Cricetulus griseus: one gene and its partners. The protein of the gene in region 6 purifies or fractionates together with the protein of the main gene of each other region. This does not show direct contact. Links are inferred from orthologs where the notes say so. Each region holds a gene or a part of one and is shown on either strand. Other genes may lie near its edges.

Region 1 (3,375 bases), on a different chromosome or scaffold from region 6:
AGCCCTTGCTGGGGTGTGACCCATCTTACACTACCTGGGCCTGAGAGTCACAGGGCAGCCCAAGAATCCAAGGCTTGTGAACTTGGTTCCTTTAGGGTAAACAGGCCTTGGGGGAAGTAGCTGTAGGGGTCACTGAGTTAGAGTAGCTGCTCCAAGCTAGATGCTTGAGACCACTGTTCAATGAACAAGGCACATGAGCCATCAAGTTCATCCCTCACTACTTCATCTACGAAATGGTACTGCTTAACTGGGGGCTCTGAGCTCCAAGTGAGTTAATGTACGTGTCAGTGGGGGTGGTCCCATGCCCCACTCTGCCGAAGGTCTATCATGCCTCCTAGAAAACAAGGGGTAAGTGCTGGATGAGGCTGATTCCCCTCGGTCCCAACACCTTGAAGAACCAGACCAGAGACAGAACAGAGACTAAAAGGGTCAGAGGGCAGGGCAGAGGACCAGCTGTCTTGGCAAAGTGGACTGAGTGACTATTAGGAGGAACAAAGACTCACCTTGGCTTGGTTGTTGCTCCTATTGGGTGGTAGTACATTGGCAGGTGCTTTGGCCACACTAATAGGCACTTTGGATGGCATTGTGCCAGCATATGCTGAGTTGATGGGTAATTTTGACGGTGCTATATTGGTGAGCACAGTAGAAGGCATTGCAGCAGTGGACTTTGTACTGATGGGCAACTTGGAGGACATTTTGGAAGACACAGTAGTTACTGGTACCAATTTGGTAGAGGAAGGCACTGAGCTAGTGGTCACAGAATTGGTGGGTACTCCCCCATCTGTGCTGAGACAGGTGGCAGCTTTGGCCTGGTCACCAGCTCCCTTTGCCAAAGCCAATCCAGTGGAAGAGGAAGACAAGGAGGTATCAGGAGATGGAACTGATACTGTGACCCCAGGCAAGTGGCTTGTCCGCAGGGTGGTACGTGGAAGGGGCTGGAAGGAAACAGTTGGAGACACAGGTCCATGGAGTGGTGTGGAAATGGAGTCAACACCTACAGGCGAAAACAGACACAAATCCAAAGGATTGTGTTACATTAAGGGCTAGAGAAGGGTCCCCATGCCATTGGTTACAGTCCATATCACATCTGGTTTCCCAATTTCCGGCTCGTGGAGAAGACTCAGACCTTGACGCAGAGCCCTAGTTGGTCCCTATCACCAAAATAAAATGGCATCTGCCTTCATCCGCACCCAAAAGCTTGATGCTCATTATAAATTATTCTTTTGTTCTTCCACCTTGGACACTTGCCTCTTCTCCCACTTCTGCCTATTCTAGTTTGTCCTGGCCTTCTAGCAAGAGCAGTCCTGAATCAGGGCAAGGGACAACAGGATGGCTCAACAGAACCACAAGCATACTTCCCCAAGGAATAAGGACCTAGTAGTCCCAGAAAGGGAGCTTGATCTGGGGAAACCAGAAGCAGCAGGTGTTAACAGGACATAAGGGTAATGACATCAGACTCTTCAGAGAACTCTCAGGACACACATGCCAAGGCTGACAAACATTAGAAGTGATGTCTCCCCTTAAGCCTAATAGAAAATCTCCAGGCACCTGTGATCACAAACATGCTACAAATGAAATGCCCTTAGTGCCATAGTTCACAGAAGTATTTCCTGAGAAATGTCTTGTGACAAGCTGATATTACAAAGCCTTGTGACTGAGGGATGTTTGGGAATGAAAGCATTTGGGAGCACTAAGATGACTTCCCCCAACCTTTAACTGCTTCACACAGCAATTCTAGGGCACTGAGGGCAGACCAGGCACCTGTGACAAACAGAACAGAGTTAGGAAAGTGGAGGTGAGCCATTCTAGCCTGGAAAGCCAGGGTGGATAGAGTACAGTCCTGAGGGGGAGCATCAGGTTCCTCTGACCCGTGACTGACTCATCTAGAGTTGAAACACTTTAGTAATTTTTCTGGTGTCTTGGTTACTTTTCTATCACTGTGGCAATACCGTGACCAAGACAACTTACAAAAGAAATCACTTAACTTTGGGTTCACAGTTCCAGGGGGTTAGAGTCCATGAGGATCATGGTGGGGAGCATGGCAGCAGGCAGGCATGGAGATAGAGCAGTAGCTGAGAGCTTGCATCTGATCCACAAGCATAAGGCAGAAAGACAGAGACAGACAGACAGACAGAGACACAGAGAGACAGACATACAGACACACACACACATACACACAGAGAGAGAGAGAGAGAGAGAGAGAGAGAGAGAGAGGGAGAGAGAGGAGAGAGAGAGAGAGAGAGGAGAGAGAGAGAGGGAGGAGAGGAGAGAGAGAGAGAGAGAGAGAGAGAGAGAGAGAGAGAGAGAGAGAGAGAGAGAGAGAGAGATCGCTAACTGAAGATGGCATGGGCTTTTGAAACCTCCAAGCCCACCTCTTTGACACACCTCTTCCAACAAGGCCAAACCTCCTAGTTCTTTCTACATAGTTCCACCAACTAGGGACTAAATATTGAGATGCATGAGCCTCCAGGAGCTATTCCCATTCTAACTACCACAGCTGGGAACTAGAGACCTCCTTGTGCAGAACGGTGTTTAAGAGCTCCTTCGTCGAGTGGAAGTTCACGAGCCCAGTCTGACAGCTGGGGAACCAGCATAGGACCAAACCAGGCCCCCACTGGGTATCAGTGGGGAGGCCTCGGCAGTCTATGGGGCCTCTGGCAGTGGAACCAGTACTTATCCCTAGTACACGAATGTGCTTTGGGAGCCCATTCCCTATGGAGGGATACTCTCTCAGCCTAGATACATGGGGGAGGGCCTAGGTCCTGCCCCAAATGATGTGACAGACTTTGATGACCCCTCATGGGAGGCCTCACCCTCCCTGAGGAGTGGATGGGAGGTGGGATGGGGGGGTCAGTGGGGGGAACGGGAGGATGGGAGGGAGAGGGAACTGGGATTGGTATGTAAAATAAGATTGTCTTTAATTTAAATAAAAATTTATTTAAAAAGAAAAAGAATTTGCTGGGTGTTGGTAGTGCATGCCTTTAATCCCAGCACTCGGGAGGCAGATGCAGGGGGATCTCTGTGAGTTTGAGGCCAGCCTGGTCTACAAGATCGAGTTCCAGGACAACCTCCAAAGCAATACAGAGAAACCCTGTCTTGGAAAAAAAAAAGAAAAAGAGCTTCCCTCATCAGCTAGTCCTATGCTATCCCTCATTCAGGTCCTGGTCAATCCATACCAGGTCCTTTTACCTGAGTGCAGAAATAGTGCTAACTCTGTCTCACATGCAGCAATGTACAGCAATGCACACCTACACGGCCATCACACCCTCCGGTGTGATTCTGCCAGTTTCTCCGTTCTCGGAATCTGGGTTGGCCTTATAACTTGTTTTGACCACAGAACAAGGCAGGAGTAATAAGGCCAGTTTCGAGTCTATG
Region 2 (4,188 bases), on a different chromosome or scaffold from region 6:
GTAAATTTTTTCAGAGAAGTTTCATTTAGATGTATTTTCTGGATATAAATTGTCAGCCATATGCTCTACACATATCTGACTGAAATACATTCTAAAAAGTAAATAATTAATCAATCAATAAATAAATAAACTCAGCAAAACACCTCCAGAATCATTATTAAGTGTCCAACCTGAAGAAGAGAGAAAGATTCGATTTCATAGGTAAATAATCAAGTAAAAGGTGTTAGATCTCATAGGCAGTCCAAATATCCAGAAAGGAGCTCAATCTAGACTATAGGAGGATTTCTAGTGGTTAGATAAAGGCCAGCATTCCTCAAGAACTTGTGGAACCAGTTCCCATCTGTCAAAAGGAATCAGTTCCCTTAGCTCTGGCAGAAAGGACACATGGCTCTCCATTGACATATACCTGCCACTGCAGATCAAAGCCCATGTTGGCCTCCAAGATCCCTCAGTCGCAATTCACAAGTACTTGTTACAACATTTCAAAGTCCCCTGTGCCAGTCTCCTGGCTCTCCCCTCCCCACAGCTACTCACCCTCCTTATATTCTTACTTTTTTTTACTCTCTCACTGTGTTCTATTCTCTATCTCTTGCTATCTTGCTGTCTCCACTATTCTCTCTCTCTCTCCCTCTTTCCTAGCCCTGGCTATGTCCAGTCTTCTGGCCATGCATAGTCTACCTTTTCCTTTCTTTGTTCTGAACTCCTCCAGATGCCTCTGGCTGTTTCTCTCTCTCTCTCTCTCTCTCTCTCTCTCTCTCTCTCTCCTCTCTCTCTCTCTCTCTCTCTCTCTCTCACACACACACACACACACACCTACAATACAAACCATATCACGAAGTAGTCATGTCTGCAGTTTCTTTACTACGTTTCCTCACACACACATGACAGCTTCTATCGTACAATGACATGACAGTCCTCAAAGCATTTTTCTAATCAGAGGAAAAATAAACAAGGGTGGATGCAGACATTCATCAGACAAGGCCATTTCCTGGTAGGGTATCCATTTAAAATTTTGAATGGGGCAACTGGCCTTTCTTCTTTGAAATCCTGATGGTAGAGTGAGCCACACATTTTTCTCTAACAGAGATCTTATCTGTCTTTGCTTTTAGCATGCAAAGGCTGGAGTCCCAATGTGGGTGTCCCATATCCCAGTGCTTCCCACTGTTGGAACTGATTAGATCTCCCCAGAGGCAGTGGTGTGGGTGGACTGAGAAAATTGTAGAGTTAGCAATATTGATGGTGTTTATGGACTGTTTGGCCTTTATTTCACTCTGAACTTGTTATTCCAGCCCATAATAGATCTGTGATAACCATCAGAAAAAGCAGTCTTTTTAATTACTTCAGGGATGTTTCATACCACTCAATACTATAATCAGAACTCCCAAGATACGTCTTTCTTATATTTATGGGAAGAATGATTCTTGTTTGTCTATGGATACTTCCTGTTGTCTCAACATAGTTATATTGGGTAATGTGTATATTTTTTTGTTTTTTCTGTGTTTACGTTGTGAAGCAAAAATAAAAGAACAGAAATAACCAAATAAGGGAATTCAATGGCTGCTTAAAAACTTTTCTTGGTGTTGTTTTGTTTGGCCTGGTGAGCAGGAGGTGACAAAATGGTGCTTGTGTGTGTTATTTGTCTCCATGAGTCTGACTGTATTTGTCTGCCTTGGAGTTGAGCAAATTACACATGGGCTACATTTCTGTCCCTTTGCCAGGACTGTGAGCCTCATTGAGTGCTCTTGCAACTTCCTTCCAGACAAAGCAAAACAAGCAAACAAATATGTGATAGCTTTAACTCGACTCTGCCCTGAATGAAAACCATGAATATCCTGTGGTATTCTTAAAGAAACAATCATTTAGCATAGTCTGTACATGTGAACCTGTTTCTTTCCTCTTATCAGGCTGAATATAAAAATTGCTTGGCTGTATGACAATGGCCCTTGGGCAATGGCATAGGGAATAAGGCAGTAACACAGATTTAATTCCTTCAGATACGGACGCCAGTCATAGTACAACCTTTCAGCCTACTACAGCTCCAAATACCCATTTGGTGGAAGACTTGGACAGGACAGGACCACTTTCAGTGACAACTCGTAAGGATAATGACACACAGCTCTTTTGTTGACCTGTCTTCCTACTTCACATCTGCTCACATTGGTCAAAATGTCACATTTGGTGGTGGAATGGTGTGGTCTTTGTTAGGTGGTTCAGCTCAGGCAGGGGATGAATCCGTTTTCATTGGCTGTCTTTCTTGTATGGGTTCTTTAAACCTGACTTTATCTTCATTCAGAGTCTCCTTCAGAGCCAATGACTTTTTATTAGCAAAAGGATATGGAGGCTTAATTCATCTCCATGTTTCTTCTCCAACTCTTCATGTGAAGGACATTGAAGACCATCACTAGTAGATTGTTTTCTCTATGTTTTAATAGAAACTTTTTCATTCACACCCTTCTTCCAGCCAAGGAAGGAGAAAGATTGCGTTCATGATGGTGTAACATGAGGGCCAGATTATCATAGTGAATAGAGAAATAGCATTTAGACTTGAGAGGAGCAACAGGCATGTTGTTAATAACTGACCAAAGTGGCATCCCTGGAATTAAAAAGAATCATTTGCTAACATAGTTTTCTATCCTTAAACATCTGCCAAAGATGAAGGAATATGAAATTTTTAGTGTCCTTAATTTTCACCATGTGTATAAGGATAGCCCAAGGATCAACCCAAACTCATTCATAAATTCTTGGCAGATTATCAAAGAAATCTCCAAATTAAGAAGGCCTCATTTTACTTCTTGCTACACATAATGGTCAGAGTCCTTTATAGGAGACCTTTAGGCATAGGGAAAAAAGCCAGCAGGCATGTATTGACCATCATTAATGTAAACAACAGTAATTGGCATCAAAGGAGATATAAATAAGCCTATAAATGGCTCTTGCCAATGCAGGACTTGTATTTCCATTTTGTGTTACTGTTGGCTTTTGTTCTGGTGTTGGATTTGGGATTTGGTGAAGGTCTCTCCTGGCTGCATTTATTGGTGGTGGACATGGCTCATGGGCATGTTTTATATAGCCTTTGTACCCGCTCCTCAGAGGTCAGTCAGTGCCTTTCTTGGAAGAACACAAAAGAAACTTAAAACAGTCAAAGTAATTTCAGATATGGGCAATGATTCAATCCCAAATTGATAAGTCACTGAGGGCCCTGTGTTTGCCCAGGCAAGCATTTCCTTGGTGCAGTGAAGTGAAACCCTGTTATAGGCGAGATCACAGCCTATTAACAAAGAAGTAACTAAAATGCAATGCTTTCTACAAGGGAGTCATGTATTTCCCTGTAAAATTTTCTCTGGGTTAATTGATGGAGATGAGCTTTTTCTTTAGTGTTCGAAGACAAGCTACATAGCACTTTTTCCTTATAACTTCTTTGTTCACAATTTGGCAGTCTTAATGGTTGAGGAAAACTGAAATTAAAGCTCTACTTTTCATATCTGTGATTTTTGTTTCCTGGGGATCCCTAGTGTAGTTGGGTCAAGGTGCTCCAGGGAGGGCAAAGTTTTGGCTTTGGCTTCACTTTGGAACTGCACTAAGAGAAAAAGAAGCTAACTAGGGACAAAATATAATTTTTCTGTATATTTTTAACAATCGGGCAGATGATAAAGGGCAAATTTATCATTCTCCCTTTGTATCTATCCATCTGCTAATTCATAGCTAGATCATCAATGTAAGTGGGCAACAAAGGACTTGTATCATGGTTCCTAATTAACACTAACTTCATCCCTCATTGAAACAGCGCAGAGTCATTCTCAGGACTTCTTTACATCACATGGAGAAATGGAAGAAGAGAAATACCACTCAACAACTTCTGTTCTGCCATCTAGCAGTAAGGATCATAAAGCCCAACTAGCTTTGGTTATTTAGCAGAAATCAAAATGTTCTGGTATCTTCGGTGGTGGTACATCCATTGCTAATTTTTATACATTAGTTTTAATCAAAAGGTGTGTCTGGTGGTGGTCTCTGACTTTCCTGCTTTATAGACCTTTTAGAAGCCAATGTACATTAGGTACAAACTTTTCTGTTGAGTTGGTTTAGAAAATGATGATTGTTTCTATAAGATTTTCTGAAATTCATTACAATAATATTATTTCCATTTTTGTCTTCTGGACCACAACTCCACAATATTGGTGACTAAGAAGC
Region 3 (4,883 bases), on a different chromosome or scaffold from region 6:
GCCCTCTGCTCACCCAGGCCAGACACCCCTGTGGAGCTGTGCACCCCTCTCTACCCCTTAGGCTCCACAGTTATCTGGACCCCTCAAACCCCTGAGCCTCCACACTTCTCCCAGACTCCCAGGTCTTCTGAGAGCCCAATATATGTGGCCACCCACCACCCTGTGCCCAGTCCCACCCGGTCTACCCTTAGTCCTCACAGGCTTCTCAACTCCCCCAGGCCCTGCAAGTCCCTGGACTCCAGGCGTTGTAGGTGCTGCTGGTTCTCCACGTAGCTGCAGGGAGAGGGGTGGTGAACAGGGTCAGGGCCTCAGTGGAATTACCCCATTCCCACCAGCCACCCACCTCCCTCACAGGCACCTTTCACACACAGACCCATGTCACCTACTCATTCATGCGCATGCCCCCACATGCTGGCACGACTCACAAGTCACACATGTGCATACAGGCATGCATGCACCCTCACCTTTACAAAATACAGACTCTCACATGCCTCCTGCAACACATAGGCAACTGCACAGAAACACACGGGGATATCCTCATACTCTCACCCAAGGACACACATGAACAAAGCTCACATAGACGTCTCTCACGCATACACAGATGAGAAGGTGTGAAGATATGTTAGCCAGTGCACACTGCCATTCTCAGCTTGGGGCTCCACTTTGATAGCAGGCCCCTTCAGCATATATATGCTCAACAATAAGCGGGTCGTGCTGGGGCTCACTTCCACAAAGGGCAAGGCTCTCAGTGCTGCTGCTCCACCCAGTGCTAAAGATGCCCCAATGGTCATGCTAATGTGTGCCCCAAACACAGCTCTGAGACTGCTATCTGGGTTCACTGACCCCAAACACACACACACACACACACACACACACACACACACACACACACACCACCCTCTGTCCCCTCAAAACCTTTCGTTCTTCCCTACAGCATCCCTACTCTCCCCTCTCCAGTACTTTTCCAAAACAAGCAAAAAGCATAGAGCTGTTAAGGACCCCTTAGTCCCTCCTCAGTCCATGAAGGACACAGGAAGGGAGAGAGGAGCATGGAGCAGATGGAGTCTGAGTGTGTGGCTGAGGAGAGATGGAGATACAGTGTGAAACACAGGAAGGCTGAATGAGGTAGCAGAAGGTGGGCAGAAAAACAGAGTAAAAAACTCAGAAGAGACTGAGTAGTGGTGGTGGGAAGGGACATACAGATAAGAACAGGGGGCCACAGAGATAAGGACTGAGAACCAGGGATGCAAAAAGAGAAAGACGGCACTCGGGGTGAGGTGGCTGTGGTTGTGGTTGCAGTCCTATCTTGTGGATCTGGCGTCCCGGAGTTCCTGTGAAGTTACTTCCCTGTAGTGACATGTCCTCTGCAGTGGCACGTCCATGTTTCCTCTCCTCTCCCAACTCCCGTATGTGGCAGGGGCCCCTGACTCACTAGCAGTTCTCAGAACTCTTCCCCTCTCTTTTAGATTTTCCCTTAGTAAAAGAACAGCGAGGGAACAGGCTCAGTCCAGCCCCCCCCCCAACCCCAGCCCTGCTTCCAGCCTTGACTTCAATGGGACAGTACGTGCCTATCCTCAGCCTAGAAGCCTAAGGAGATGCAGACGGCCACTTTGGGGGAGGCCAGATCCCTGTTCTGCCCCAAGGGTTTCAAGCTTCAGAGACCCAGGGAGTTGATAAGATGTGAAGAGCTGGGTAAGTAGGGCTGTCAGGCAGTGTACTCCAAGCCGCCTCATTTGTTCAGATTCATAATCAATCTGTCTATTCGAGTCCATTAGCTCCTTGTTAGCTATGCGGGTGAGGGAGGAGGGAGAGGATTGTGCAGGACGAGGTGGGAGGATTGGCCCCACCCAGGGGGACATCTCAGCTCACCGCTCTGCCAACCTCCTCTTCTACAGCCCTAGCTTGCCCACTGCCTCTGTCCCTGGGCTGGACTCCCTTGGAGCCTGTTAAGGCACTGGGGAATGAGAACGCTGAGAGGCACAGTCAGGAGCCGGGACTCTGGTTTGAATGGGCAGGCCTGGGAGCAACAATCTAGACCTCATGCCCCCTCCCATCATGCAGGAGCCTAGGCCAGACCAAGACAAGGCCATCCCCTCTCTTTTTGGTCTCCCTAGGGCCATTAGAAAGAGATTGAGTATCTCCGTTAATTACTACAAGATGCCCGAGTAACTCGGTGCCAATCACGGCCAGCTGCTGGTTCTACCAGCATGCAGAATACTCAAGTATTTTCCAGCCATCACCCTGGGATGCTGAGTCCCTTCAGGTCAATTATACTCTCATAGGTTTCACCAGCTGCTAAGAAGTACTTGCATATTTTGTAACCAATTATTGCAGAATGTCAAAGTACTGCAGAGCTTAAGGTTCCGCCCAGCTCTGGACCTGGAAGAAGTGAGAATCCCTCAGCAACAGCCCTGACTCCCTGATACAAGTAGGGAGACATTGGTGAAAGGGGAGACGGGAGAGAAGCAAAGGGCTTTCATTTCCCACATCCAAATCAAGAAGTCAATGGAAAGAAGAAAAGCTCATACAACAAGCTGGTTCCTCATCAACTCCAGCTCAATCACAAACCCAGGGAAGACCTAGGGTCCCTGGCCAAGACAAGGGAGAGGTTGGGGACTGGCTTCCCTCTAAGATAGAGAAGATGGCAAAGGTGCACAGTGCCGAATTCTCCACAGCTAACCCCCACACCGAGGGGCAGAATTTGGGCTCTTGAATGAACCCCACAAAGAGGCTCCTATATCGATGGACCAAGACCTGGTCCCCTTTTGCTCTGCCCCAAGCCAGCACCTCAGCCAGCTACCCTTAATCCTGGGCGACGTCCAGACAGTGACTGCGCGGCTTTGCCAGGGTGGTGGCAGCAACAGCAAAGCCGCTGCAGCACAGCCAAAGGTTACACGTGCCAGCCTCCTACAGCAGCCAAGCCTGGCCCCTCAAGCCAGCGGTGAGTGCGCGCCCTCGGGGAAAGGCTGTGCCCTCCTGACCCCGCGTGCCTCCCCCGCCACACACTCACAGCTCCGTCAGGTTCCCGGCGCCCCGCAGGCCGTGGAGGGTATTCAGGGCCCCTGCCCTGGTGCAGCGAAGCCCCGAGGGGCCCACGGGGCAGCAAGCCTCAGGACAGGATGCGGCGCAGGCAGAGGCCAGCATCAGCGAAGCCAGCAGGCCTCCTAGCCCCGCGGCTCGGCAATGCCAGCCCAGCTGCCCGCGCCGCTGGCCTCGCAGCATCGCGGCGGCGCCCGCCAAGCTTGGGCTGCGCCGTCCGTCCGAGCGCTCTTAGCTGCCACCGCCCGGCCTCGCGCGACACGTGCGCGGGGCGGTGTTAAAGACCAGCCACCAGGAGAGGGCGGCACCCGCGGCCACGTCCCGCCCCGCCCCGCCCCGCCGGCCGGTGCCCCCAGCGCCCCCTCCTCCCCTTTGGGGCCCTAATGCCAGCTAGCCTCCCTAATGTCCCTGGCGGCTGCAGTAGACCTGGGGCGGAGGATTGCTACAGGACGCCTCACAGGCGTCTTCTGAGACTGGAGCGGGCTAGGAAGCCGATACGTTATTTCTCCCAGTAAAACAGCTGCATTTTCAGATTTGCAGGGACAGGGAGAGATTGAGCAAGGAGAAGGTTGAAGTCCAGGTCATCCCAAACAGCCTCGCGGTGCACATGCCTAAAAGAGTGTGCATGTCACTTGGAATAAGTTTGATGAACACTCTCCAGACGCTAGTAAGAAAAGGGAGATGGCCCCAGAAAGACCGGACGCAGAACCTGCGGAGGAAAACAGAAGGGGCAGAGAAGTGTTCTCTCAACACAGCTGGAGGGAGAGTGGAAAGTGGAGACCGCTCAGTCCGCAAGAGACCACAGGGTGGCGCTAGAAGCCCTTGCGCCGCGGCGTTTGCGCCGGGCCTGGGTCTTCGAGGGCCGGGAAGCGCGCGCGGTTCGCAGCCCTGCCAGCCTGTGCCTTCTGTCTTAAGGTCAGTCCCCAATCGCAGCCAGCCAGTTGGGGCACAAGGCCGGGTAGGGCCAAACAGAGCAGGGCTGGCATCGATCGCCGTCCTGACAAGTGCATCGATTTCTGAGCGGAGAAATTAATAGATCTCTTAGCTCTTCGGACGTGGGAGTTGCCCGCGGGTAGAGCTGGGAACCATCGACCCTTGGTATTTGTGAACCTGGGAAGTCCCAGGATCCAGCATTCAGGCCATCAAAGGGCAGGTGTCGCGCATTGGCCTTCCTGGCTGCAAGTCTATTAAGTCTCACACTTTTTTGTTTTGTTGTTGGTGGTGGTGGTTTTTGTTTTTGTTTGGTTTGGTTTTGGTTTTTCGAGACAGGGTTTCTCAGCAGCTTTGCAGCCTATCCTGGAACTAGCTCTTGTAGACCAGGCTGGCCTCGAACTCACAGAGATCCGCCAGCCTCCGCCTCCCGAGCGCTGGGGTTAAAGGGGTGTATGCAAGTCTCACGCTTAAGAGGGGACAGACAGGTGGGCTCTGGGAGTGACCGAAGTATGTAGGACCCAGCTAACCAGTGAAGGATAGATAGTCTTAGTGGCAGTTAGCTTTCTGCTCCAGGTCCCAGCATGAATAGTCCCTCGAGTGTCTTCAAACGAGTACACAGAGTATACACAGAGCATACAGAGACACACCAAACATCCCGAGTTCTTAAAAGTAACCAAACGAAGGAGGAATCTCACAAAGGGACTTGGCAGGGACGCGCCCCGCGGCAAGGGGTTATGGTCAAAGTGGCCTCAGGAGGCTGGGGGGTGCGGGGGCTGCTAGAGGCGAAGGTCTGAGATCTTCAGGTTCCACAAGCGGACTATGCGACCTGTCCAGCCTGCGAGAAGTTACCCTCTAGGGTGTCAAAACACCTGTTGGACTCCAGAACCTCCGCTCCTCAGACCAGGGCGCCC
Region 4 (4,188 bases), about 37 Mb from region 6:
AAAGGGCATAATCCACTGGGCAGAAGAGGACTCAGTGGGAATGAAGAGTGTAGAGCCTGCTGTGGTCAGAACACAGGCATGGGCAAAGGATACGGGCAAGAGACGAACTTGACAGCAAAGACCAAGTCTGGACAGCAAGGACCTCATTCGTGCACCATGCTAAGAAGCACAGAGGCAAACAGAACTGGACAGCCATGCTTCAGAAAGACATTTTCAGGGACCACGTGAGAAAGGACAGGAAGAGAAGGTAGGCACTTGTGCAGTGAGTGACAAACTGAGTTGGTACCACGATTCTCCTCTTATACACACCCTCCGTAACTATCTCCTTGAGCACAACAGGGCGGGTGGGATAGGCTGTTACTGCACAACAAACTTACAAGGAACAGAGGAGGTACACCGCAGGAGTAAGGAAGACATCAAACCAGATAAAAGAATTAATCAAGAGGGCGATTATCCTGCCGGGGGAGGGGCAGACAGGATACTTAACTGGGTAAAAGACCTCAATAGAGGAAAGCGGGCCTTCCTAGATAGAGGGAGAAATGTTCCTGCTGGCTTGAGGAAGCATATGATGCCAAGTTGAAAGAAGGCCTCATCAGCCAGCCAGTAAGAAAGTGTACACTTGATCTATAGCCCCAAGGAACTTAAACTCTGCCTGTAGTCAGGTATGCTTGGAAAACAGCCCAGCCTGAAGCTAGACCATTGATGCCTTGTCAACAACAGGGAGCCACACCCAGATACTGAGCTAAGGGAACTGTGGGACAATAATCAGATGTTCTCCAAAGCCCCAAATTTAGGTAAGCTATCGCAGAGCATAGAAATACAGCGTGTCTCCGGGACACTTCCAGCCCCAACTCTGTGAGGTCCAAACTACTATCAACGCTGAGATATTCACACACACAGCAGCACCCTCGTCACGACTCACCTCCAGAAACTCAAACTCGTCCCCTTTGGACAGGGTGAGCTCAACCTCCGCCTTCAGGTTCTGCATCTCACTCTTCTTCTTGGCAAGAACCTGGTAGATGCTGTCCAGCTTTCCGTGGATCCGCTTCTCCTCCTCCTTCAGCTTACGCATCAAGTTGGTCTCCGCTGAATCAAGGATAGCCTTCATTTCCATATATTCTTGCCTCAGTTGTTCCTTTTTCCTGTTCATAGAGTCCTACAAGGCAAAAATGAAGGGGCTCCTGTCAGATGGGTGAAAATGCTAAGGCCGCATTCCTGTGTGTCGGAGAGAGGGGAGCACCAGGAACTGTATGACACTTCATGGCACCATTCTAGGCAGCCATGCCTCTGGAGGCAGAGGCAGGCAGATCTCTGAGTTCAAGGCCAGCCTGGTCTACAGAGTGAGTTCCAGGACAGCCAGGGCTACAAAGAGAAACCCACTCTCAACAAACAAACAAAACAACAAAAAGAATGTTAACAAGCACAGCCAGGTATGGTGACTCACAACTGTAATCCCAACACTTGGGAGGCTGAGATAGGAGGACCAAGAGTTCAAGGTCATCCTTGGCTTCATAGCATACTTGAGGCCAGCTTGGGTTATGTGTGACCCTTGTCTCCAAACTGGGGTGGGAGATGAGGGGGAGACAACTGTTCACAAGCATCATTGTTTGAAACAGCAAAAAGTGAGCTGGTCACAGTGGCACAGATTTATTATTCCAGTTCCTCTGGAGACTGAGGCAGGAGGGACACTTGAGCTATCTGGGGGTGGGGAAGCTAAGTACAGGAGAGACTTGATGCAAAGACTGAGAACCATCCTAGGATGAGACATTAAACGATAAACTGGAGGTACATGTGGATCCAGCTCACAAGGGAAAACACATAAGCTATGTGATTCTTTTCACACAAAGCTTAGACACTGAGGGAATGGCGGTGTTTGCTACCAAGGAATGCATGCACAAACAAAAAGGCATAAATATGTAAACACACGGGAATGAATGAGCTTGTGTTTAGGGTATAAATGATTAGGGAATAAATATGATAAATTAGGAACGGGGAGGGATACACTGCAGACGTTAACATAACATTTTATTTTTCAAGACAGGCTTTCTCTGGGTAGCCCTGGCTGGCCTGTAACTCACAGACAGCCACCTGCCTCTGCCTCCTGAGTGCTGGAATTAAAGGCATGCACCACCACTGCCTGGCCCCTAGTAAATTTTTAAAAGAAGGCATGAAACAATTTCAAAAACTTCCGGAAGAGGATTATTCCCTAGAACTCTCTTTTTGAGTGTTCCACGTGGCTGCTGCGCATTTGAAATGTGCCAAATTCAAGAAAAGATCTATCATGACTCTTAGTAGACACTGGATGTCAAAGACTTGATACCAGACAGCAGTGGTATCCCCTTTAATCCCAGCACTTGGGAGGCAGAGGCAGGTGGATCTCTGTGAGTTTGAGGCCAACCTGGTCTATAGAGCTAGTTCCAGGACAGCCTCCAAAGCCACAGAGAAATCCTGTCACAGAAAAAATAAATAAATAAAAACAAAACAAGAAAATCAGAGATGTCTGGAATGTTTCTGGTAGACAGTGTTGCTTCAAAGGTTGTAGTTTTGAACAAACTTCTTGGTTAACCTCAATAGTTTAGAATCAAACATGACAAACACAAATACTGTACACCAAAAGAGTGGAATTCAACTTTTAAAAAACTGTTACATTTATTATTAATCACTATTATTTTGTTGTTGTGTGCACACTCCCCCCAGGAGGTCAGAGGGCAACTTTCAGGAGTTGGTTCTCCTCTTCCTCTGGTCTTGGGGATCAAACTCAGGTTGTCAGGCTTGTGCAGCAAGCCCCTTTACCCACTGAGCCATTTCACTGAGCCTCTCATCCAGCCCTTCCCACTACCTCCTCTGTGAACACCAGTGTCCTTCAGTGTTCATTTCCTCTTTTGCTCTTTAGTAAGAGAACACCCCAGGAGTGTCAAGTGGGTATACAGCTTCTCAGACTACATTTCCCAGACTACCCTGCAAATGGGCTTAGCCAGGGTGGCTAAGTGGCTAAATTGCCTCCCGTGAGGCAAGGCTAGAAGTAGTATGTGCAACACCACATTGATTGCTTAAGAGGAAGTTGCTTGTTGTTGGTATCTTCCATCTTGCTTCCCTTTTCCCAGGCTAGAGCAAACAGGTAAAGGTGACCCAGAGTAAGGACCCAGTTTGGGCTGAATTCTGCCATCTTGGTGGTAACTGCTATATGACCCTAACACAAATCCCAAACCCTACATGACATGTTAATAGTTGTTATTATTATTATTTTAGAAAATCTAGGTACATTCCAGTTGGCCATGGGCCACCTTTGCCTATCTTAGCACAAAAAAAAAACCCCTTCCCTCCTGCCTTGTGACACAGGGATCGGGGGGATCCTCTTGTTTTGCTACTACTTAACATATCCTTCTGCCAATAAATCCTTAATATATTACAGCCTGTGCAATCCTGGATCTGCCAGCATCTTTGTTCTTCAGTACCTTCTGCCTTGACAGCCAGTTTCTATAATAGCCTTTGGCTTAAAAAAAAAAATCCAGCTTCAATCAAAGGCATGAGAGCATCAAACTGTGGAGTAGTGGGACAGTAGGAATGTTCATTTGGAGCAAAGCCATGCTAAGGGTCAAGAGTTGCTCTTGTGTGGACTTAGGTTGTTAAACTGAACAAAATGAACCACCTTATTGATTTGCATTTAAATGGATCCTAATCCTAGGAGGTTAGCCTGCCCTCCAACCAACCAATATTCATAATTCTACCTTCACCCTGTAGGTCTCACTATCTTCTCAGAGGAGTTGTGGTTGCTTTGCGTGTGTTTCGGGGCGGGCGGGGGGGGGGGGAGTAGGGGGGGTTGAAACTTGCATCTCCACCAACACAACTGAAGCCATCAATGAAGGCACAGTTGCTGCATCTCAGCAATGGTATTCTTAAAATTCCAGCTCCTTTCTTTCAATATAAAGGTAATATGGTACCATAGAGAAGGCTCAGTGGTTAAGAACACTGCCTGCTCTTCCAGAGGACAGTTTGATTCTAAGCACTCATATGGAGGTTCATGACCATCTGTAACTCAAGTCCCAGGGGATCTGACACACTCCACAGGCACCAGGCATGCATTTGGTACACACATACAAACAGGCAAAATACTCATAACTTAATTTTTTGGGGGTGGGAGGGGCAGGTTCAGGACAGGGCTTTTCTGTGTAGAAGCCCTGGCTGTCC
Region 5 (4,903 bases), on a different chromosome or scaffold from region 6:
ACTGCTTTTTTACCATATATATGGTGAAAATATATACAATATATATACTTTATATTTTATATATGATATATAAAGAGTGTGTGTGTGTGTATGTGTTTAGACAGAGTTTTTCTGTTTAGCCTTGGCTATTCTGGAACTCTCTCTGTAGACCAGGCTGGCCTCAAACTCACAGAGATCAGCCTGCCTCTGCCTCCCAAGTGCAGGGATCAAAGGCGTGAGCTACCACTGCCTGGCTTCTACCAAAATATTTTATCCATACTTATTTTCCCACTATAATATTTAAAGTACTTTTGGATATCTTTTTTTTCTTTATAGCACAGATTTTAATATCCATAAGGTATCTACCATATGGACATAATTCACATAACCAGGCCTTATCGATTTTTAAAAATAATTTATTTTTATGTGCATTGGTGTTTTCTCTGCATGTATGTCTGTGTGAGGGTGTCAGATCTTGAAGTTACAGACAGTTATGGGCTGCCATGTGGGTGCTGGAAATTGAACCTGGGTTCTCTGGAAGACCAGTCAGTGCTCTTAACCACTGAGCCATCTCTCCAGACTCAGCCTTATTAAATTTAGGATGGTTTGAAAGTTCAAATTTCTGAATGTACTCCTATGTCCTTAGGATATTTTCCTGTAAGTAATATTACAAGATCAAGAAATTACATTAATAAGCCTTTTCAGTTGTCACATATTCAACAATATTTTCTCTTATTTTAAAGCTTGTAATTGTTTTAATTGGTTAAGCATGTTCTTTGACCATTTCATAGGTGTACATATGTTTATCCTTGTCACCCTCCCTCTTCCTCACAAGTTTCCTTCCCACGTTCATGTCTTTTTAACAGCATTTTCTTACAGAAAAACAAAACAAAAGCACCCACCCATTTTTATCTGAGGCCACTATGACAGTGAGCTTTGACATAATGTGACTGGCCTCTGGCCCTGTGCACATCACAACTCACTCATTTCATCACCTTGGCAATAATGTAACAAACAAGTCCTAACTGTTAACAGGCACTTTTCTTAGCTTCCTAAGACACTCCATGGCCCACAACATTCAGTCTTATTTGGCTGTTTTTGTTTAGGTCACACATGTTTTTCTAGTCATAGCATCCCAAAAGCAATCAGTTTCGTGGAATTTAAGAGACATAAAAAAAAAAAAAAAAAAACTGCTGCTAGACTGCCTGCTCTGTAAGAACAGAGACTACAGAGACTACCTGTGGTCTCGTTTTTTTTTTTTTTTTTTTTTTTTTTTTTTTTTTTTTTTTTTTTTTTTTTTTTTTTATGGGACCTAGACTGAACTCACAGGAAATTACCATTGTTAGTGTTTTTTAAATAATGCTTGCTGCTATGTTCTTCTGTTCCTGGAAACACCTCACAGAGAAAGTATAGAAAAGCATAAAAATCTTTTAAATCCTAACACTTTGAAATAATTCTCTGTTTACATTTGGCATTTTGTGCTGAAATTTATTCACATTTCTGCCTAAGTGTGTAAGTATAAATAAATTTGAGAAGTTGGTCATATCATGTATATGTGCTATTATTGCCGTCAAATAATCTCATTAAATATGCTTGCACACTATAATATACAAGAGCATTTAATATTTTATATATGTATGACCTATAATCTTTCAATGGAAGTAAATGTCTGTTATGACTTGTAAGTGTTCAGAAGCATCCATATCAGCATACAACATTTCTCTTAATTCATTTTACAAGAAGACTTCATTTTACTACTGCCTTAAGTCACAACTTAGATCACCTAGTCTGACATGGGCTCAGATTCCCATGTGTCACTCAAGGGCTTCAACAGCACACACCATAAAAACATAGAATTTTTGTAATACCAGCCAACCTATCCTGGCTGCTTGGTGAGTTCCAGTCCAGCAAAAACCCCAGATAGAAAGCACATGAAGAAAACACACACACACACACACACACACACACACACACACACACACTCATAAAAAGATATACTATTTTATTCTATTTACTATTAGATGCAACAGAAAAACAAATAATCATATTTTCAAATAATCAAAATTTTCAGAAATATTAAAAGTGAAAAAAAGAAAAACGGGAAAAAGCTGTTCCTTGAATGTGGCTGGCCCACCATTGAGGAGCAAGGAGTAGTCTACCTTAGAGCGGAAGCTCACTCGGGCTCTGCCACGTGCCTCAGTTGACTGTCTAATCACTATCCTTCCTTGAATAATAGGCACAGCCCGCTCCTCCCGTGACTTAGAGAACTATTTCCACTTAGAGAACTACCTCCAATATGCCGGGTGGGAGCATAAAATGCAACTTGCTAGGACTTTCCAGGGATAAAAGTTTACAGTCATCCAAAGGCTCTCTCAGGCCAAGTGTAACTGTTAGTGACACCTCTGCCACCAGGCAAGGGAGCTCCGGGAAGTGGGGCTCTAACCAAGCTCTGCCTCTCCAAGATCCTACCACGAAGCCTCTGTAGGCAGGTGTTCCATACATACCAGCAAAGGCAGTCAAACCTCAATAAAATATACAGCCAACGCCATCATTTTCTAATTAAACGTTAAGTGTAAGACGTCTAACCTCGCTGCCAGTACAGATTTCTGAGTTTTTATCTCTCCTTCCTTACTGTTTCGTTCTCCGGACGGTCCTGTTTCTTTTTTAAGAGAAATGATAGGCTGGAGAGGTAGTTCGGTGGACTGCAGTGTGTGTGTGTGTGTGGGTGTGTGGGTGTGTGTGTATTTATATTCAGATCGCTAAGATAGTGTTTGTGTTTGGGGTTTGCATGTGTATATCAGAAAATGTGGGGGCAGGTAAGTGGATCAGGAAATGGAGCGGCCAAGTCAGTTGAAATTTTAAAATTTTGGTTTCTCTTCAAGGAGGTGCCTTCCAATAGACGGCTGTACTTGCTGTGTTCCAGAAACACCAGAAGCACGTCTATGGGGTCGGGTGGGGTGGGGTGGCAGAAGGCCCACAGAGGGCAGCGGGCAGCTACCCACATAGATAAAGCTCCTGGCTTCCCTTCCAGTATTCAAACCCTGAATCCCTCTACAGCCATGTGGACTCCAGATCCCACGGAAACCTAGAAAGTTCTAGAATCATGATCCTTCCCCCTTAAAAGTTCAACTGACCTTATCAGAAACAAACCCGAGCGAGGTCTTCACCAAGGGCACTTGGCTCCCAAGCCCCTTCTCTGGAGTGTGTGGCAGGCAGAGGGAAACCCAGACCTGGAGGCTAGACCTTGTCTACTTCCTGCTCTCCTGGCACAGGCGGTACAGAAGGCAGGAGGAAGAGGGCTGACCTCGGGTATGCTGAGGATCTCCTGTTAGTTCCTTTGTCCCCCACTCTCAAGATAGTTTCACTTCTACGTTCATGCCGTACTCACCAGTTTATGTAACTATATAAAATCTAGGAACCACAAATGATAAAAGCAAATGACATTTGTCTTTCTGAGATTGGCTCAGTTTACTTAATATGATTATCTCAGTTTTTGTCCATTTTCCTGCAAATAATTGTCTTTTCTTTCTTTCTTTCTTTCTTTCTTTTTCTTTTTTTTTTTTTTTTTTTTTTTTTTTTTTTTTTTTTTTTTTTGTTGGTTGGTTGGTTTTGGTTTTTGGAGACAGGGTTTCTCTGTGTAGCGTGGCTGTCCTAGAACTCGATCTGTAGACCCAGCTGGCCTCAAACACAGGGATCCACCTGCCTCTGCCTCCCAAGTACTGGGACTAAAGGCGTGTACTGTCACTGCCCAGGTGGATTTTATTTTTTTATGCAAGATTTTGAATATCTAAATAAGTAATTAAATACTCTTTTCTTTGTGGCTGAAAATTTCTGTTTGTGTGATTGGTGTGTGTGTGTGTGTGTGTGTGTGTGTGTGTGTGTGTGTGTGTGTAAAATGCCACATTTTCCTAATCCATTCCTCTGCTTATAATTGTCGGGTTGGTTCCATAATTTAGCTCTTGTGAATAACTATGGATATGCAAATGTCTCCATGATATGTTGACTTAGTCCTGTGCATACCTGCAGCTGGGTTGCATGGTAGATCTATTGTTAATTTTTGGAACAACCTCAATGTTGATTTTCCAGAGGCCAGCCCAGCTTACAGTCCCATCAGAATGGTAGAAGGGTCCCTTTTATCTAATTTCTTTGGAGCATTTGTTGTTATTTGTTATCTTAATGACTGCTATTCTAATAGGGATATAGTGGAATCTCAATGTACTTTAATTCACACTTCTCTGATGGCTAGTAAAGTGGAGCATTTCTTCACGGATTTTAGCTATTTGTAATTTTTTTTAACCATTTGTTTGTTTATTTGAGAGTGAGGAGCATCCTTGCCACTTGTGGAAGTCAGGAGACAACTTTTGGAAGTCTGTCCTCTTCCATGGTTTGTGTTCTAGGGATGGAACTAAGGTTGTCTGGCTTGATGGCAAGTGCTTTTGCCCCCTTAGTCAAGCTGTATTTCATCTTTTGAGAACCACCTGTTCATTCCATTAGCTCATTTGTTAACTGGGTTTTTTCCATTCATATTGCTTACTATTTTAGTTCTTTGTATAGTCTAGATGCCAATGCTTTGTCAGATACACAGTGTGTAAAGATTTTTTTCTCCCATTCTGTATGCCTGTTTCTTTGCCCAGTTAACATTTCCTTTACTATACGGAAGCATTTTAGTTTCATGAGGTCTCACTTGGGCAACCGTTGGGCATACTTGTTGAGCAACACCTTTCAATAATAATTCTGAATACTAGTGGTCCCAGTATCACAATTTAAAAGATTGGATTAAAAAAATAAATAAATAAACCAAAACCAGGATCCATCTATTTGTTGCCGACAAAAAAAAAAAAAAGCACTTCAACATCAAAGTAACAAACACTGCCTTAAATGTGAATGGGTAAAAAAGGATGTCCAAGCAAATGGGCTTAAGAAA
Region 6 (3,377 bases):
GGAGATGGCTCACTCAAGGTGTCTCCTTTATGGGAGAAATGTGGTCATGGGATTTATCAGATCAGGGTAAGGTAGGGGCATTTAGAAACGGACTTGTTAGACCTCACAGTAACAGCATGTCCCTAGCCTGCAGGGATTGGCCAACAGTCCTGCCAAGCTGAACAGAACCCTTTCTCTTTTTTTCAGGACTCCACTGGCCTGTTAGGGACAGAGCGACAAGTTGGCAGCTCTGCCCTCGGGGCTGCAACCCACATCAGGGAGCTTGGTTTTCCTAGATGGAAACTACCAAGTCCTGTCCTGCAGGTCAAGGCCCAATCTTCTAAATGGGCACGGTTTCTGCTGTCACCTGGAAACAGCCCACATGTGGATGAGAACCCATCAAGATTTCTGCAGGGCACCAGGCTAGCTGACCCAACACAAGCTGAGCAAGGGACCCTTGATGCCAAGACTCCAGGGGAAGGCCACTTCAGCAGGGCCCCTGACACTGTCCAGCGCCCTCAAACCACTCCCGCTACCACACCCCAGCCAGAGGGGCCTGGCAGGAAGACCCCAGAGCAGCCATGGGCCATGGGGACTCCTCAAGCAGATGGTAGGCCCTTGGCTCAAGGGGCACAGAAGGCCCCAGCAGTGCACAACCTCTTTACAACTGGGGAGGACTTTGAGGATGACCTGTAACCTTCACTCTGACTCATGTAATGGGTCCTCCATGCCACAGGCGGAGGTGCTTTAGAACAAATAACCCGAACAAATAAATATGCCTGTCAAACAGATTTTTCTTGTTCAACAATAATAAGGACCACAGGGTTGGTTAAAGTGCATATGCCACTTAATTACAGGTCATTTAGAAATCAAGTCAGAGAAAGCTACATGGGGTTTCATTTAAAAGCATTAACATTGGAACGAAAACTAAGTGTGAATCATTAAAAAGTATATGGTGAGACCCTTCAGCTGACTTCAAGAGTTCTCCATCCCCCAGGAGCCAGAGGCCCCAAATGCCCGCCACCTTTGACTTACTGTGGACAGCCCCCTCTTAACATAATAGCTTTATTTGTTGAAAATAACTGTCAGTGTATTAATCACTTTTAACAAAGAAAACACAGAAGGTCATCAGACAAGAATTCTGACTGCTGGTGCAATGCTGGCGGTAAGAGCAAGTGCAGTGTACCTCTGCAGCTCCCTGGCAAAGGCCAGGCTCAGGGAAGGCAGAGGGAAGCTCAGCCACAAGTACCTGGGTCTGTTCTCAGGCGTCAGCATGTACACTCTTGGAACTGTCCCCTCATGTCACTCTCCTACTGCTTTAAAGGCTTCACACATTCCCACCTGTAGATTCTGGAAGAATGCTAAGAAACTGGCCCTATTGAGGCCCTGCTGCTCTACTTGATGCAACTACAAGACAAAGGGGGTGGGTCACAGGGCTTCGGCACAAGCCCGTCACAATGGCGGAGGGTGCTTTGAATACTGGATTGTGTCCAGTGCAGCTCCGATGTCGTAATTCTTGGTCTGTAGGAGCCTGGTGAGCCAGCCACCTTCATCAGAGAAGCCCATGGACAGCATCTGGGAGAGTGACTCGATCAGTCGGGGATCAGCCTCTGCCAAAACAGACAGGAAAGTCAGGCACCCTGCAGCACTCCAAACATAGCAAGTCCTGCCTGCCAGGAAGACTGCCCTGTTTAGGCCTCACAAGAACCCTCAGAGGCCAGCTAAAGGGCCAAACAGCCCTGTTTTGTAGGCTTTCCAGTCTGTCACAACTGTTCAACTCTACCATTGTAGCATAAACAGCCAGAAGGTATGTAAACAAATGAGTGCAGTTATTTTCCAATTAAGTTTATTGCCAGATGTGGTGGCTCAAGCCTGTAGTTCTAACACTCAAGAAGAGGAGGCAGGAAGATCATTCAGGGACATCCTGGGCAACAGTGGGACACCATCGCAAAACCAACCCAAATAAAAACCATTTAAAGATAATAAAATGTGAATCGTGAATCTCCTCTAACTGCCTCTGATTCCTCACCCTCTGTTGTTATTTGGCGTATGTACTTATATTCCTATGTAGGTGTACATGCATGTGTGAAGGTGTGGCAGCCCAGAGCTGAAGTAGGAGTCTTCCTCTGTTGCTCCCCACTTGAACTCATGGCTTGCCAACTCCAGCTTGTCTATCTAGCTAGCCAGCTTGTGAAGGGATTTTGTCTGCCTTCTGCCATGCTGGACTACAGACACAGTTGCCACGCCTGCACAGCAAGCACTTTATTGGATGAGCCAGTTCTTCAGCTCCCCTGCTCTAGTCTGACTCCAGTCCAGAGCCTTGCAAGTGAGATAAGCAGTCTGCCATGGAGATACAGAGGTAGGTCTCACTGTGTAGCCAGGATGGCCTTGAACTCATGATTACAGCCCCTTCCCAGACTCTCATGCACCAGTTTGCTGCCCCTCTGGCTCTCATGCACAAAATAAGTTTGTAAGCCCCAAGGCCAAATCTGGCCCGGAGAAAAGTTAGCCACCTGAACACCGTTAGCCTGGGAGCAGGCTGCCTCTCTTGCAGGGTGTACACTTGGGATTAGCCACTCCTGTCCAGCATTTTCCATACTCTGCCTGGCTTCTACTAGGGCCTTGACTGTGGTGCTTGCCATTAAAATTTGCAACCCCCTGAGGAAATGGTGTGTAGGGTTTGAGTTCAGTTCATGGTACAAAGCAGCCCAAACCAGTGTTGCCTTTCCTGTAACATCTGCCTTCTCAGAACATCTGGGTATTGAGATTTAGAAATACTTAAAATGAGATGAGGTTACTGTTGCTGGATGCAAACAGAAGAGGTCAGACCAGCTTCTAGTTTTCTCTGATGTCAACTGACAGCCCCACCAAGGAGTGTGCCGCAGACAAGCCTACAATCCCAAAGCTACCCTGCACTACACAACTAGGTACTGCCATTTAAAAAAAAACCTAGGCCATGCTACCCCATTTTGTGTTACCAAAACCAGACTTGGGCTAGGATACTCTGAAAGCAAAGGAAAATGAAACTTCTGGTGACCACATGCCTGGTGGGAGATGTGGGTACAAGGCAGCTTCCTTCAGCCCTGTGGGTCCTTCCTGTGAGGGGTCTAGAGAGCTTGGCCCTTCTGATTCCGGCATCTGTAGAGACTGGAGTTCACCTGTGGACGGGTCCACTTCTTTGGAAGACAAATGTGTCCAGTCATCATCTCCTCCTGAGCAGTTATCAGACTCCATCTGTTCCTAGAATACAACCTGCTGTGAGCACAGGGGTCTAAGTGACTGACCAGTGGGACCCCACGATCTGTTCCCAGCAAAGTATGGCAAAGAGAGCTGCCTGCAAAGGACATGTCTGTCTGATTTTTTTCCCGTAACGATAGGGGTTGAACCGAGGACCTCAT
Region 7 (4,806 bases), on a different chromosome or scaffold from region 6:
CTTCTTTCATGGTGGTGGGCTGGGTCTTGGGTCAGGGTGGCCAGGAGCAATACTACCCTTAAGGAAGGGACTGGAATGACCAACTAAGGCTAGCCTGAGAATTATGTGGCTCCACTCTCATCTCACTTAGCCTTACATCTCTCCCACCTGCCTTGTCCCTTAATCACTCTGTGTGACCTCTCCTGGGTTTGGATGAGTAGATTTGCAGCTCTCCTGGGTTTGGGTTTATGTCTCTGCATGGCCACACACAAAACCCCCTTTAACTCATGAGCATCCCAGTTTGGACAGTAAATCACACAGTCACTAAGGAATGTTAAGGACAAATCAGAGAGCAGCAGCTACAAGTGAGGTCCTGCTGGTCTAGAGCAGCTGCCCAGCTGGCTTCAGCCCATCAGAGCCTTCGACTGGACAGCAGTGGAGATGGTGCCAGGGCTGCTGCTCCTCATGGAGCTCTCTTTGGAGGCAGAAGCCTGGCCTGCTGAGATCTGCCTGCTGACATCCCTTGGCAGCCTGGCACTATGCTGGGACACACAGGAGGCTCTTAATCAAATCTGGTTGTGTCCTTATTCCCTCTACCTGCATCCCAAACATCACAGCAGTGACAAGCAGAAGCTGGAGCCCTCTAACCCACCATCCAGCTACACATCAGAATGTGACCCAGGTACCCTGGCCTTGCCATTCTGCATAGACAGCAGCAGCCCAGACGCTGATTGTAGCCAATCCCTAGGATGTAGGGTGAAAAACTGTACAACAGAATTCTCCTGTATTGGGTAACTTCTTGGTCTAGCCCACCAGACCCTAGGCCAGTGGTTCTCAACCTGTGGGTCATGACCTCCACAAGAGGTCGGTCACATATCGGATATTCTGACATCAGATATTTAAACTACAATTCATAACAGTATCACAATTACAGTTATGAAGTAGCAACGAAATGATTTTATGGTTGGGGTCATCGTAATACGAGAAACTGTATTAAAAGGTCGCAGCATTAGGAAGGTTGGGAACCACTATCCTAGGCCTTCCTCTATTGAAGGCCTAAGCTTTGGATACCTGCAATCTGTGCTGAAGGCAGAGGTCCAGGGGGTTTTTGAGGGCTTCCAGAGGGCTCTGTCCCTCAAAGAGATCAGTTCATAGGTAGACAGGGGATGGAGCTGAGAAACGTCATTACAAATAAGCACAACATCCTGAAGCACAGGCATAGGATTGTATCTGGGGAAGTGTGAGGGGTCAGCTGGGCTGCCTGATTCTCTTCCTTTCTCTCCTTTCCCAGTCCCTTCTCCGTCTTGGTCAGGAACCAAGTCACGGCTGCTCAGGAATAGCCAAACCTAAAGCCGGAGCACAGAATGTGATTTCCTACCTCTTTACAGTTTGAGGCAATGTAACTGTGTCAGGCTCCCTGGGTTCCTCTCAAACAAGCTAGAAAAGGCTACTGAGTGGGGGCCCAGGTTACCCATTTCTGCTCAAGGGTCTCTAGTATCTAAAACAAAACCAGCAGAGGATTTCACTCTTACTACCTCCTGTTCTGGCTGCATGCCAGTACTGAAAAGTGTTCCACAGAGATCCACACAGTTCTCTCCAGTGTTAATCTGGGAAAGAAATAGCGATGGTTCCCAAATGTAAAATACCCTTAGCTCACAGAGTTGAGGACCTAGGTCCAGACAACCCCCTCTGCCTCTGAGAATCCACTCTTACTCCCTAGCCTGGGAAAAAACCTTGCTTGCCTTTTCTGCTCCCCAAACTCTCTTCCGATTTCTCCTCTATGCCTGCCTTACTAGGCAAGATGGCTCACTAACACAGTAGAAGTGGATCCAGTAGCTGGTAAGCCTATAATATTGGGATGTACCTCCAATCCCAGAGAACAGTCAAAGTCTCTTCTTGGTCACCTGGAATCAGCCCATGGCCATCAAATAACCATTGATGACACTCCCCCACCCCTGATGTCCATGAAGAAGATGGCCTTCCCCAGGACACTGGGGAAGAGCTGAACTCTGTCCAAGGGAACTTCTGCAATGCTCAGAAAATGCCTGCCCAACTGCTTGCCTGGGCTCTGGCCCCTCTGCTGCTCTGAGCCCAGACAGGAGGCTGACTCACTCACCACAAGGAGGAGCAGGAGGAGGAGGGAGAGGAGGAGGAGCAGGAGGAGGAAGAGGAGTGTGGCCTAGGCTCATAGAAGCAAGGCTCCCCCAGAACAGGCAGGCAGCCTCAGGTGGGTGATAGTGGTCGTGACGACAGTGGATCATGCAGTTCCCTTCCAAATACTCCCTCCGAACCTCACTCACCAAACAGAAACTATTTCTTAAATCCCTTCCTCAGTTTCCACACTGGCCCCTGAGTCCCTCTGGACGTCTGTGGACAGGCTTTTCTGATAAAGAAATCCAGTACACTAGGTCTCAAAGCACCGGCGGTTTTCGAAAGTTAACAAAAGAAAACTCCATTTAAAGGATTCTACTCCACCATCACAGGTGATCACACATGGGCCCAACTGGGTAATAAACAGGCTACTCACACTCCACCCCCAGAGACCTTAGCTACATCCACAGCCAATCACTTGCTTTCTTACTCCTCCATTCCACGCTAGAGCGCAGGTCCGAGGAAGGAAACAAACGCTTGTTGTCCGGTGAGAACTGTCCTAGCGAAGGACTCCTGCGCTGAGCCCCCCAAGCATCCCGGAAGGTGGCTGCCCCCTCTTCAACATCTCACGAACTTCAACTTTCTCAGACCTGGGTGCCCTCTCAGAGTTCCAACCTCATGGCACCACAGTCCGGATCTCAATCGCCAACTTTGCTACCGAAACTTGGTCTCTAGTTCTTGCCCCTGGGCACTAAGACCTCTCGACCCCGGACGCCCGCCCCTGAATCTAATCTCTCACCCTGAACCCGGTTCCCGCTGCTCCCTGATCCTCACCTGGTCCGGCGGGTGGACACGCTGCTTGGCGCTCCCGGCGTTTAGGGCTGGCTCGGCAGCTGCCTTTTGACAAGCAGAGACGGCTCAGCACCTGGCCCCGCCCCGCAAGGCCCCGCCCCCGGACCGCCCTGTTCCCTTAGCCACGCCCACCAGGTCCAGTCCTCTCCTGCCCTGAAACCTTCTTGACTTGGAGTCAACCACTGCACTGTCGCCTAGGAGACCCTGCTTTGTGAAAGGATCCACGACCTCCGGTCACAGCGAGGCGCAGGCTTCTGCCCTACTTGGGGCGGTCTTTCATGATTCCGTTCGTGCAGATCCATGTTTCTGCTTGCGGTGATCCGTGATGTATTCGCCACCTCACCCCCGCCCCGCTGCCGTGGTTCTACCCAGTCTGCTGCAGACGCCTTTGCCAGGTGCGTCACTCGCACCTGAGCTGACCCGGGACCCCGACGCCCGCGGCGCGCTGCGAGGAGCCTTTCTCCGTTCGCCGTTGGGAAATCGCCGGCCAGTTTCTGATGCTGGGCGCAAAGCCGGACTTCACCGGTTAGGACAAGCACAGGGGGACCCAAGTGGACTGGAGACTGGAGTTGTGAGCTCTCTCCTATCCGGCGGCTTAACCACAGCGAGGGGGCACGTTCCTGGCTAACTGCGATCTCATTCCAGCTGGCTTTGCCTCAGCTTCCCGGTTCTCTGCACCCCATCCCCCGATCCTCTCTTGCCATGAAGAACTCAGAGGTTCTAGATTTGGCAAATTTTGCAAGGTTACAGATGTCACACACTATGATTTGCTCCCACCATCACACTTCTAGTATGTCCTTCTCATCCTCCCCCAGTTCCTGGACCTCATCTGGCCCTCCAGACTCTGCTCTCTTTCATAGCTCTGTCCATCCCATCGAACCTTTGCCACCATCTCCAGGCAACAATGAGCCACCATAGAGTGTATTAGTCTGTCATATGGTTTGTTACCTTATAATAAGACACTTTGTATTTATACTGAACAAGAATTTTAGCCACCCAAGCTTTATTCCCAGTAAGTCATTTTATAACAGTGACAAAAGCAAGATTTCTTTCTCCTTGTTCTCCTAGAACCTTTTATTGTCTCCTGACTCCACATTTCCCTGGGTAGGTCCTGGAATAGAGAGAGATTGCTTTCTTACACTACCTTTCCCGGAAGCCTTGAGGGCAGGCAGTGGTCTCTGGTAACTATACTTCAGAGTTAACAGCTTTAAACCCCTCTAGACTGGCTGGGTGGAGGTGGCACACACCTTTAATCCCAGCACTCGGGAGGCAGAGGTAGGTGGATTTCTGTGAGTTCCAGGTCAGCCTGGTCTTTGGGGTAAATTCCAGGACAGCCAGAGTTACACAGAGAAACCCTGTCTTGAAAAACCAAACTCCTCTAGGCTGATCCAGGAACCACACTCCAGAACCTCTGCATATAGAAGGCATGCATTTCCCTTTTCTTTTTTCTAAAGACAACATTTCTTTAATTCTCTGCTGTCTCCAGGATGGATGGTATTGGTCACTTGGTCAGATTGCCTCTGCTCAGTGTTTGTCTCTGACCAGTTTTATCAGGGAATATCTATGCATTTTTCCATACACACAAGACACCACATTAGAGCTCTGTAACTCAGCTGTTTGTATACTAACAAAAGATTCCTGCCAGGTGCATACTCTGCAAAGACTCTAGGCCCAGAAGCGACCTTGTGCATTCCATAAGGCAAAGCCTGGTCTCTGGGCATCTCTACCAGGCCTTGGGTGCCTATCGGAGGCTTGAGCAGGTGTGACCTGTCCTCAGCCTATGAACCCCCTTTTCTGCATCTTGGGCAATATCCCTGAGATTGTCTGTCCCTCTCTGAGCCCCTAGCCAAGACGTTAGAACACAAGTGGATCGCTTTGTCTCTT

What was found.
Region 1: the proteins of Sqstm1 (region 6) and Mavs purify together in Homo sapiens (affinity purification with western blotting; 3 studies listed by BioGRID). This does not show direct contact. The link is inferred for Cricetulus griseus from reciprocal best matches to the Homo sapiens genes SQSTM1 and MAVS.
Region 2: the proteins of Sqstm1 (region 6) and Cd44 purify together in Homo sapiens (affinity purification with mass spectrometry; 3 studies listed by BioGRID and IntAct, counting the BioPlex papers as one, with this or other methods). This does not show direct contact. The link is inferred for Cricetulus griseus from reciprocal best matches to the Homo sapiens genes SQSTM1 and CD44.
Region 3: the proteins of Sqstm1 (region 6) and Ntrk1 purify together in Homo sapiens (affinity purification with western blotting; 6 studies listed by BioGRID and IntAct, with this or other methods). This does not show direct contact. The link is inferred for Cricetulus griseus from reciprocal best matches to the Homo sapiens genes SQSTM1 and NTRK1.
Region 4: the proteins of Sqstm1 (region 6) and Trim25 purify together in Homo sapiens (affinity purification with mass spectrometry; 3 studies listed by BioGRID, with this or other methods). This does not show direct contact. The link is inferred for Cricetulus griseus from reciprocal best matches to the Homo sapiens genes SQSTM1 and TRIM25.
Region 5: the proteins of Sqstm1 (region 6) and Casp8 purify together in Homo sapiens (affinity purification with western blotting; 5 studies listed by BioGRID and IntAct, with this or other methods). This does not show direct contact. The link is inferred for Cricetulus griseus from reciprocal best matches to the Homo sapiens genes SQSTM1 and CASP8.
Region 7: the proteins of Sqstm1 (region 6) and Vdr purify together in Homo sapiens (affinity purification with western blotting; 3 studies listed by BioGRID and IntAct, with this or other methods). This does not show direct contact. The link is inferred for Cricetulus griseus from reciprocal best matches to the Homo sapiens genes SQSTM1 and VDR.

What each region holds. Positions count from the first base shown.
Region 1 is NC_048599.1:47,327,634-47,331,008, forward strand, and holds part of Mavs (mitochondrial antiviral-signaling protein), read right to left. Parts: intron 995-3,375; coding exon 504-994; intron 1-503.
Region 2 is NC_048599.1:74,826,420-74,830,607, forward strand, and holds part of Cd44 (CD44 antigen), read left to right. Parts: intron 1-1,994; coding exon 1,995-2,096; intron 2,097-3,784; coding exon 3,785-3,874; intron 3,875-4,188. UniProt on the Homo sapiens protein: Cell-surface receptor that plays a role in cell-cell interactions, cell adhesion and migration, helping them to sense and respond to changes in the tissue microenvironment.
Region 3 is NW_023276806.1:66,668,408-66,673,290, reverse strand, and holds the start of Ntrk1 (high affinity nerve growth factor receptor), read right to left. Parts: upstream 3,223-4,883; coding exon 3,011-3,222; intron 274-3,010; coding exon 199-273; intron 1-198. UniProt on the Homo sapiens protein: Receptor tyrosine kinase involved in the development and the maturation of the central and peripheral nervous systems through regulation of proliferation, differentiation and survival of sympathetic and nervous neurons.
Region 4 is NC_048600.1:102,145,763-102,149,950, reverse strand, and holds part of Trim25 (E3 ubiquitin/ISG15 ligase TRIM25), read right to left. Parts: intron 1,157-4,188; coding exon 923-1,156; intron 1-922.
Region 5 is NC_048595.1:413,109,585-413,114,487, reverse strand, and holds the start of Casp8 (caspase-8), read right to left. Parts: upstream 3,200-4,903; 5' UTR 3,114-3,199; intron 1-3,113. UniProt on the Homo sapiens protein: Thiol protease that plays a key role in programmed cell death by acting as a molecular switch for apoptosis, necroptosis and pyroptosis, and is required to prevent tissue damage during embryonic development and adulthood.
Region 6 is NC_048600.1:64,657,110-64,660,486, forward strand, and holds the end of Sqstm1 (sequestosome-1), read right to left. Parts: intron 3,220-3,377; coding exon 3,024-3,219; intron 1,590-3,023; coding exon 1,432-1,589; 3' UTR 756-1,431; downstream 1-755. Other genes in the region: Mrnip (MRN complex-interacting protein), read left to right, coding at 187-675. UniProt on the Homo sapiens protein: Molecular adapter required for selective macroautophagy (aggrephagy) by acting as a bridge between polyubiquitinated proteins and autophagosomes.
Region 7 is NC_048595.1:394,401,238-394,406,043, forward strand, and holds the start of Vdr (vitamin D3 receptor), read right to left. Parts: upstream 2,986-4,806; 5' UTR 2,905-2,985; intron 1-2,904.